3 linked regions of the Cricetulus griseus genome follow. The main gene of each other region encodes a partner of the protein of the gene in region 2 in a complex. Links are inferred from orthologs where the notes say so. Each region holds a gene or a part of one and is shown on either strand. Other genes may lie near its edges. The genes, in order: Ccdc153, Drc3 and Iqcd.

The links.
Region 1: Drc3 (region 2) and Ccdc153 share a complex: the UniProt entries of both Homo sapiens proteins name them as parts of the nexin-dynein regulatory complex. The link is inferred for Cricetulus griseus from reciprocal best matches to the Homo sapiens genes DRC3 and DRC12.
Region 3: Drc3 (region 2) and Iqcd share a complex: the UniProt entries of both Homo sapiens proteins name them as parts of the nexin-dynein regulatory complex. The link is inferred for Cricetulus griseus from reciprocal best matches to the Homo sapiens genes DRC3 and DRC10.

The regions. Positions count from the first base shown.
Region 1 is NC_048597.1:155,926,712-155,930,465, reverse strand, and holds the start of Ccdc153 (coiled-coil domain-containing protein 153), read right to left. Parts: upstream 2,563-3,754; 5' UTR 1,811-2,562; intron 1,544-1,810; 5' UTR 1,534-1,543; coding exon 1,464-1,533; intron 1,438-1,463; exon of another isoform or gene 1,399-1,437; coding exon of another isoform or gene 1,394-1,398; intron 958-1,393; coding exon of another isoform or gene 953-957; coding exon 887-952; intron 1-886. UniProt on the Homo sapiens protein: Component of the nexin-dynein regulatory complex (N-DRC), a key regulator of ciliary/flagellar motility which maintains the alignment and integrity of the distal axoneme and regulates microtubule sliding in motile axonemes.
Region 2 is NC_048600.1:74,482,584-74,486,277, reverse strand, and holds the start of Drc3 (dynein regulatory complex subunit 3), read right to left. Parts: upstream 2,941-3,694; 5' UTR 2,607-2,940; intron 1-2,606. Other genes in the region: Tom1l2 (TOM1-like protein 2), read left to right, coding at 3,235-3,286. UniProt on the Homo sapiens protein: Component of the nexin-dynein regulatory complex (N-DRC) a key regulator of ciliary/flagellar motility which maintains the alignment and integrity of the distal axoneme and regulates microtubule sliding in motile axonemes.
Region 3 is NC_048597.1:100,417,352-100,419,722, forward strand, and holds the end of Iqcd (dynein regulatory complex protein 10), read left to right. Parts: intron 1-1,285; coding exon 1,286-1,612; 3' UTR 1,613-1,749; downstream 1,750-2,371. UniProt on the Homo sapiens protein: Component of the nexin-dynein regulatory complex (N-DRC), a key regulator of ciliary/flagellar motility which maintains the alignment and integrity of the distal axoneme and regulates microtubule sliding in motile axonemes.

The sequences.
Region 1 (3,754 bases), on a different chromosome or scaffold from region 2:
TCCCCAAGTTGCAGGTTAGCTCCATGGTAGACTACTTACCTATCATGAATGAAGTTGTGATTCTATTCCCAGCTGGGGGAAGGGGTGGGAGATAGCTTCTTTCATTGATCTTCACTGCCTAGCCCTTCCTCACAATCTTGCAAATAGATTAATGGCTATCTTGGTTTAGCCCTGCACACAGTTCAAACTTTCCAGTTCCCCAAGAACCCAGAAATGCCCTATGTTCCATACATTGGGTGGCTAGTTTATTGTCAACTTGACATAAGCTAGAGCCATTAGAGAAGAGGTAGCCTCAACTGAGAAAATGCTTCCATAAGATCAGGCTGTAGGCAAGATTTTAGGGCATTTTCTTAATTAGTGACTAATGGGGAGGGCCTACCCACTGTGGATGGTGCCACCACTGAGCTGGTGGTCCTGCGTTCTATAAGAAAGCAGGCTGAGCTGGGCATTGGTGGCGCACGCCTTAATCCCAGCACTCGGGAGGCAGAGGCAGGCGGATCTCTGTGAGTCCGAGGCCAGCCTGGTCTCCAGAGCGAGTGTCAGGATAGGCTCCAAAGCTACACAGAGAAACCCTGTCTCGAAAAACCGAAAAACAAAACAAAATAAAACAACAACAACAAAAAGGGAAGCAGGCTGAGCAAGCCATGTGAAGCAAGGCAGTAAGCAGCAACCCTTCATGACCTCTGTATCAGCTCCTGCCTCCAGGATCCTGCCCTACTCGGATTCCTATCCTGACTTTCTTCAATAATAAACAGTGATTTGGAAGCTTAAGCCAAATAAACCCTTTCCTCCCCAAGTTGATTTGGTCATGGTGTTTCATCACAGCAACGATGACCCTAACTAGGACTTCTATCTCTGCCATCTCCTGAGGCTTCAAACTTCTTACCCAAGTGGTCCTGAAGCAGCTCCTTCTCCAGCAGGACCATCCTATGCTTGGCCTCAGCCTCTGCATCTGTTCTGGCAAGACAATAGTCTCAGGTTATCCTTCTCTCGGCCTCACCCCAGTGCTGCTCTGCACCTGCACTTCTTCCTTCGTGATGGAGGAAGATAGCTGGATGAGGGAGGCCCAATGGCAAATCTGACAAATTTACGGCTGAGTGGCAGAGTCTTCACCCACCATGTGCACGGTGGGTGCTCAAAATAAGGGTGAAAAATATGATGAGGGCAAAGAACTAGATGGGGCTCCAGGGGGAATTTGGGAAGGAGGCATTCTCCACTTCCTCAGCCCCATGGAATCTGGACGCAAGGATCTGCAGAGGAGGGCCAGGAAGCTTCACCCTAGCCAAGTGTGGTAGCAACGCCTGTAATCCTGTCACTATGAAGACTGGGGCAGCCTGGGTCCCATAGTGACCCTGTGTCAAAAGAACAAAAGACAAAACCAAAACAAACCCACTCCATTTGTTGCCCAGAGGGCTGGATTCCCTCCGAGGACCTTTGTGTCACAGACACGCCCTGTGACTCACCAGGACTTGATTTTTTTTTCTTCTTCTGTGCCCCAGTTTTTCTCCCCTTTCCTTTGGTTTTAGGTGGCATCCTTGCTGCCCTGGGGGAGGGAAGACCTTCTGTGTAGGTCTGCATACAGAAATGCTCTCCTGACTCCTAGAGGTAGGGGTCTTGGGGCAGTCAGAATTCTAGTCTTCCAGTGTATCTTACACTTTCTAGAAGCTTTGGTTCTTGGTCTCCTGGGAACCCCAGGCAAGGCTGGGAGGTAGAGCAATTCTATGGGCAGCAGACAGCCCTTTTAGAGAAGATAAATCTCTGGACCTGGTCCCTTCTGTCTCCCCAACATGCTTATTCTTCCCCTTCCTACCTGGAGGACCTTCTCTTGCTTGAGTGCTGTCTCCCTGGGGAATAACACTCCTTGGGAAAGATAGAGTCCCAAGCAGATTGAGCCTAGGGAGGAAGGAGCCTGGGTCCTGGGAGCCAATCCAGGCTGAAAAACTTCCCCAAGAGGCAGGACCAAGAACTGGGATGTTGGGTTTCTGGAGACTGCCTGCTGCCCAGGCAACCGGGAAACACTGTGTTCATAGGCAGGTAGAATGGGCTAAATTGACTCACACAAAGGTCCTGTGTAGGTAGATTCCCCTCCTACCCGCAAAGAAAAGGTCTTGGAGCTGAATAGCTATTATTCATGTCTACACAGGCACTGCCTATCATCTGGAGACTTTGCAGTCTAGAAATCTAGAAGCATCCAGTGTGAGAGGCTAGTGCTTTACAGATGGAGAAGAAAGGCAGGGAAAGTAGCCATTGCAGGTACTTTATATCCCGAGGTCTCATGAACACAGTGACATGATTTGCTTTAGAACTTGAGGTCTACTTCAGAAATGCTATCTGTGGCTTGTGCAGGAAACACGTGCTGGCACAGGTAGTTGAGAGTTTTCCACTTAAGAGAAATGAGAACAGAGAAGAGCTGTGGACTTGGGGATGCTGACCCAGAAAGGAGGCCACAAATTAGGCAGAGTTGCGAACTGAGCTACTTAATTTTGCTCAGCTTGGATTTCTTGGTGTATAAGTTTTGTAGTTCCCTCCTGGAGTCCAGTTGTAGAGAGGGAGGAGGGATGAGCAAAGGGGTCAAGACCATGCTGGGGAAACTCACAGAAACAGCTGACCTGAGCAAGTGGGAACACACGGACCCCAGTCTGACATCTGGGGAACCAGCATAGGACCCAACCAGGCCCCCTGAAGATAGGTGTCAGTTGGGAGGCCAGGGCAGTCTATGGGGCCTCTGGCAGTGGAACCGGTATTTATCCTAGTGCACAGACTTTGGGAGCCCATTCCCTATGGAGGGATACTCTCTCAGCCTAGATACATGGGGGAGGGCCTAGGCCTTGCCCCAAATGATGTGACAGACTTTGATGATCCCCCTGGGAAGGCTTTACCCTCCCTGGGGAGTGGACGGCAGTGGGAATGGGATGGGGGTGGGTGGGCATGGGAAGACAGGACCGAGATTGCTATGTAAAATAAGGATATATATATATATATATATTATATATATATATATATAATATATATATATATACTCAGTGGTGTGTTTCTAGGACTTCTTTCTCTCCCGCTCAACAATTGTCTCACTCTCCCTATTTCTCTGTGAGGTTACTCTGCAGACAGGGTGTTTAGAAGCCCCCAAGCTCTCTGCAGCATAGAGTTGGTTAGTGCTCCCTCTAGTGGACTTGCTTTGACCAGAGTCTCCTAAATTTTGCAGTTTAGTATTTCTTGCACAATATGGGGGAGATTCTCTTTGGGGGATGCCTTCTAGCATCTTGCATATGATTTAAAAAATTGATTGTGGGTAGAGAGTGTGATGGGGTAGCTTGCTATTGCCCCCTCCATCTGGGAGGGCTCCATCCTGGAACCGGGCCATTACTGGGCATCACAATGGCATCATACATAGAATGGAACAGTAAGCCTTCCTTCTTCCCTGTGGATTATGGGATCTACAGACTCTTTTTGGGCACTTCTGTCTATTCCAGAATTTTGGTCAACTGCATATTATCAGAAGCAAATCTGCAGAAACAGGTATAAGACGTGGGAGGAAGATCTCTCACCTGTGAAGAAGAAGCAGAAGGTCAATGAGTGTTTATTTAACCCCATGGCACTTTAGAGATCTTAGAAAAGATTTTTAATTTTAATTTTTCATTTCGCTATATGTGTGTGGGTTTGTGCATGTGAGTGCAGTACCCAAAGAGGCTGGAAGAGAGCATTGGAGCACCTAGAGTTGGCCTTACAGGCTGCTGTGGGCAGTCCATCAGTATGG
Region 2 (3,694 bases):
TTAGGTGGAGATTTGGGCAGCTGGCATCTTTAGGGAAGGAAGCAACAGTAGCCACCAAGAATGTGGGAACTGGGCTTTTGGGAATCTTTGTTCAAAAATTCTCTGAGTGGGCAGGGTTTGGGGAGAGAGAGAAGGGGAGGGAGGGAATGGGGCTTCCAGAAGGCAGGGGCCAGCCAGAGCCTGCAACTGAACAATTATATTGCTGGGCCAAGAATTACAAAAGGAGTGAGTCTAACGAGAAATGGTGGCGCTTGCCTTTAATCTCAGTACTTGGGAGGCAGGTGCAGGCAGATCTCTATGAGTTTGAGGTCAGCCTGGTCTACATAGTGTGTTCCAGACTTCTACACACACACACACACACACACACACACACACACAGACCCTGTCTCAAAAAAAAAAAAAGAAAAGAAAAAGAAAAGCAAGCAAACAAAGAAGGAAGGGAGGAAGGAGTATGGGGGGAGGGTCTGGGACATCTCTAGGTGCTTAGTTTATATGTAGGACTAATCATTCCCAGTTTGAGACAATATAGTTTGGAAGGTTGTGGCCAAATAAAGTGATTGATTGGTCCAGTAGGGTTAGAAAGTGGGGTGGGGGGAGTTTAATAGAAAAAGAAACGGAAATAAATTTCCCTTCAGAAGAACTTTGCTAGGAGAGTTGAAGGTTCATGGCCACAAACATCCATGAGGAGCCCTGAAGTGGGAGAGCATTGGAGGAGATGACATCATAGTCTAGGCAGCCATGAGGATCCCTGAAGGAAAAGACAAACCTTTCAGTTCCATTAGCTCCCTCAGATTCAGAGAACAAAGGAAGTTTCTGACTCATACATTTTTTGGGGGGTGGTGGTGGTGGTGGTATTTTCTTTTTTAGTTCCATACCATGTGATCTGGCCTGACCTAGTCTATATGACCCATGGCATGGTGGAAGGCCTAGGCAAGAGAGTAAAGTTGCAATTCAAGATTGTCTTGGCCCAGGTATCAGGAGCTGAGCTTGCTCGAAGCTTAAGAGGGGAGACAGAGAACATTGTGAGAGTTACAAGATCACAGTCCATCTATAACCAACCTTGAGGAAGGATACTGAAGGGATGTGGCCTGATTTCTGGGGGTAACAGCAACAGCTATGAATAACTCAGAGAGGTCTTCTGTTTCTGACATGGATTAAAAAATCACCCAATATTTACTTACAAATAATGACAAGTTAGTGGATGTGTGGAACTATGAAAGCACATAGTTGCAGAATATTATTTTAAGGTGTGTTACTTTGGTTTATGTTGCATTTGTTTAACTCTGTGAATCTGTGATTCTTTGCCTGTCTAAACCTGATGGTGAAATAAAGAGCTGAATGGCCAGTATCAAGGCAAGAGAAAGGATAGGAGGGGCTGGCAGGCAGAGAGAATAAATAGGAGGTAAAATCTGAGAAGAGGGATAAGGAGCAAGAAAGAACAAGGAGAGGAGGATGTCAGGGGCTGGTCACCCAGCCAGCCAGCCAGCCATGGAGTAAGAGTAAAAGTAAGATATACAGAAGCAAGAAAAGAAAAAGGTCCAGAGGCAAAAGGTAGTCCCACTAATTTAAGAAAAGCTGGCAAGAAACAAGCCAAGCTAAGGGCTGGGTATTTATAAGTAAAAATAAGCCTCCGTGTGTGATTTATTTGGGAGCTGGGTGGTGCCCCCCCAAAAGAGCAAAGAGTAAAAGAGCCAAGGAGTAAAACATCAACAACACAGAGTAGGGATCTTTGTAACATCAAGCTTTTCTAGATTGACCAATATGTAGATTCACCAAAGATTTACCTCTTGTCTATAGTAGAACTCAATTTTCTAATCATGACTCTATTGTAACAGCATACTAGGAACAACCATTATCACAGCTCATGTTTCCAACTGTTCTTCTCAGGCCAAGGCCCAAGGAATCCTCCCCTGTGGGGATTATATCAATAATTTATACAAGTGGGTGCTGGTTGACTTGCCTGATGGTGTCCTTGGTGAAGACCAGAGGTAGGATGTGGAGAAGAAGTGGAAAGCTTTACTTACAAATCAACCAGGTAGCCTCTCCACTGCGGAAAAAATCCAGGCTTTCCTGAGAAACAACAACCTGGGTCAACTGGACCTGAAACACTGTATTTGCCACTGTATTTGCTATGTAACTAAGTGTTACATGTCAGCTCTATGAGCTATTAAAAAGGGTGCCTTAGTGCTCTTACTTCCCAGCCTGGGGTGGGGGGTGGGGCTGGGAGGTCGTACAGTGAATTACTGATAGAGACTGATACGGAACCCTAGTATCTGTATTCCCTTCCCAAGCGCTTCATACAGCACCAAATGAAGTAACTTATTGCAGATCAAGAGGAAAGGGTACCTCTCTTTCTATGAAACTAATCAGTCCAGGAAACTGGCAGATGGATCCTGTTCCTACTAGCTTTTGCGGGCTTTGGGATCTATACTCAATTTTCTTCTCCAAAGGCCTGGTAATCTCAGAACAAGTGTAAAATGACGTGTGCGCTCATTTTACAAATGAGAAAGGGTCAGGTTGGGAGTCCTTACAGAAGAGTTTCAAGACAGATTTGAATCAACCTCTGCTCTTGGAGTCTTTCTGGAGTTTAACCTCATGCTTCTTACCTTCCTAAGGACCCTCCTTCAAGTGGACGCGTCGCTTGGTTGCTAGGTAACCAAGCACCGCCACTCGGTCGCTAAGGGGAAGTCCAGCAATAAATATCCTGGGTGAAAGTTGATGTGTCACGTGACCGCATTTCTGGGCGGCGAAACGCTTCTAACACCAACCAGCCTTGAAGAAAACAAACCTCTCACCAATCAGCACCGTCAATGCACCGCAACTTCTAGTTACTCTTTCTTTACTCGGATAATTGACACGCCTTTTATCCAATCATAGTAAGGATTCTCTAGACTGACTAACAGGGTAATGAATCAAAATGAAGGGCCGCTCGTTTGGAGGCGGGTCCAGGGGGGTTGTGCCACTAGGCTGACGGGGACCCCAATGACTTAGCTTGCTTGGTGCCCAATCGGACGCTGCGGGGTGGGTGGGACTTCACTGAGAGTGGCGTGCCGTCCAATCGGAGGCTGGCTGAGTAGACGCTGCCCAATAGGGATGCACCCAGAGGGCGAGGTCAGGCAGGCGCTCGGCGTTCCCGAGGGTGGGGCGGGGGCAAGTGTCAGTCAGGGCGAGCGCGGCGCGGGCAGTGGAGACCCGCGGCATACAGGCATCCGGGCCGGAACGAGGCCTGCAGAGATGGAGTTCCTGCTGGGGAATCCGTTCAGCACCCCTGTAGGGCAGTGTCTTGGTAAGGCCGCGCGTGGGGCAGGCGTCGAGTGAGCCACAGAGCGGCTGGCCGGGCTGGTGAGGTCCGGGGCCTCCTCCCGGCACAGATACCACTTCACGTGCGGGTTGGGCCTCTGCCAATAAGTGGTGTCATCTCAAAGGTGGACCGGGCATCCTTGTCACGAGGCCTTTGCCTGACGCTGGTGCTACCTCACCCTGCCAGGAGGCTCCCCTGAGGTGCAACTTGGATTCTGAGAGGCACCCTGCATCCCTACCCATCAAGGCCCAACCTTTCCAAGTCTCTCCCTAGAAGCAGTGCCCATGCTGGACTGCCTACCCTTGCGTATTGGGAGATGTCACTGCGAGCAGTCTTCTCCAGGCATCTCGCCGCATCTGCTCTCAGGGCACCTTTCTCCCAGAGTCTTTGTGG
Region 3 (2,371 bases), on a different chromosome or scaffold from region 2:
CAGAGAGAGACACAGAGAGGGGGAGGCTGGTGAACTGCAGCAAGAGGGGCCAGAGACAGAAGTGGGAGAGGACCCTGGGGTCACCCAAGACAGAGCTTGCTGCTTTGGGCCTCTGTGAAGCTGCCTCACCGGAGGCAGCTCTCCTTCCCCGAGGCCACACTGGGTCCTGGTACAGTGGCATCACATCCTCGGGGGCCAACTCTCACTATGATAAAACACTTGAGAAAGGGAAGAAAGTTTTGTATGAGCTCAGAGTCCTGGAGTCCTCAGAGTCCTCAGAGTCCAATCCATGGTCACTTGACCCCTCTGCCTTGAGCCTGAGGTGGGAATGTCTCAGAGAGGGCAGCAGAAATGTTCACTCTGAATAAACAAGGAGGGAGGAGAAAAGGGTTGAACAGAGGGGAGGAGGGAGTGGATGAGAGAGACACAGATCAAAGAGAAGATACCTTTCAAGGGTCCACCCCCCAGTGAACTACTTCCTCCCGGAAGGCTTCCTCCTCCCTGTTCAGCACTGAATCCATCAACTGGTTAACCCACTGACAAGACTGGCGCTTTCATGATTCAGTTGCCACTCAACAGCGCCACCTAGCTGGGGGGACCAGGCCTCCAGCCATGTGTCTGTGAGGGGGCTTTCATACTTAATCCCAGAAACTCTCCCTGGTATTTGGAGTATTTGGAATTGTCTGGAGAACCAGAAGCTTTAAAGGGAATCTCCTAAAGGTGCAGAGAAGCTAGACTTCAAAGCTACGGTCAGCGGCTGGGGGACCACCTCAGTTAGTAGGATGCTTGCTATGCAAACACTAGGACCTGAGTTTGCATCCCCAGCACCCATGTAAGAAGCTGAAAACTGCAGTGTGCAGTTGTAATCACAGTGTCGGGAGGCAGATCCTGGGAGTTTGCCAGCCCAGTGATACCTGCAAGCTCTAGGTTCAGTGAAAGATTCTGCCTCAAAAAGTAAGGTGGAAAGATTGAGGAGGAAGCCTAACGTTGTATACACACACACACACACACACACACACACACACACACACACACAGGAGGAAGCCTAACGTTGTATACACACACACACACACACACACACACACACACACACACACACACACACCTAGGCTTGCACATCTCTCAGCCCTTGTTCCTCCCTTCATTCCTGAGATCTGTTCAGTTGGGTCCTTCCTGGAGTGAGCCCAGGTGCAGACAGACAGGCTCTATCTGCATACTACCTGTCTGGGGCGCATGGAGAGCACGGAGGCCATCCTTGTGCCCTCCAGCCCTGCCTCTCTTCTAGGAAGAATACGAAGATCTGGAGAGCATCCACAAGGAAGAGAAGCTGCAGCTGGAGGAGCTAAAGGAGAGGCATGCGGTGCTGGTGGAGGAGTTTTCCCAGATCCGTGCTGAGAGCGAGATCAACTCCAAGAAGCGGGTGGAGGCGGAGCGCGAGATGGTGCGCATGGTGCGGGCGGCCACGCTCATCCAGGCGGTGTGGAAGGGCTACCTGGTGCGCTCCATGCTCAGATCCAAGAAGAAGAAGCGGGGCAAAGGCAAGGGGAAGGGCAAAGAGGAGAAGGGTAAGGAGAAGAAAGGCAAGGGCAAGGGCAAAGGCAAGAAGAAGTAACTGCTGCCTGGCCCTGCTCCTGCCCAGCCTCAACCACGCCCTGCCCAGTCTGAATGGTACTCCCACCCTGCCCCAGCCCTTCCATCCTGACTTTAATGATGGCCAAAATTAAAACAAAACAAAACATTTAAACCATACTCAAGGGCTCACCCTTCAACAGACGTGTCTACCCCAGGATGAGGCTGTGTTGCTCATGGGCGCAGCATCCTGAGGAGGGTACAAGCTTTGGGACCCCCATCCTCCCACATCTTCATTGAGAAATGAGGCCCTGGTCCCAACCCAAGAGATACTGTGGTTACCATGGAGAGACATCATCACTGGGCAGCCCTGGCCTGCCCTGGGACTGCCCACCCACCCACAGCTCTGCCCCTTTGCTATGAACCTTCTGGAGGGCAGCAGCGTTTTTGGTTTGGTGTTTAGATTGCATGATTTTTTGAAAAGTATTAGTTGCTAGAATCTCATAAATTAAGAACCATCCATAGAATCCTAAAGCCCTTATTGTGAAGATCCCATCACCCTGATATCCCAGTATCCCGGCCCTGTGTCTTCTTCCATGGTGCAGCAGCATCCCACCCTGCAACTTTATTTTGAGACATAGTATTCCTCTGTAGCCCCAGCTGGTGATCCACCTGCCTCTTGATTTCTAAATGCTGAATTTACAGGCATGGGCCACCTCTTTGGCTTCCTCCACTTCAAAACAAAACAACAAAACTAAAGAAACAAAGGATGGTCAAGGGGGATGGTGGGGGCGGTGGTGGT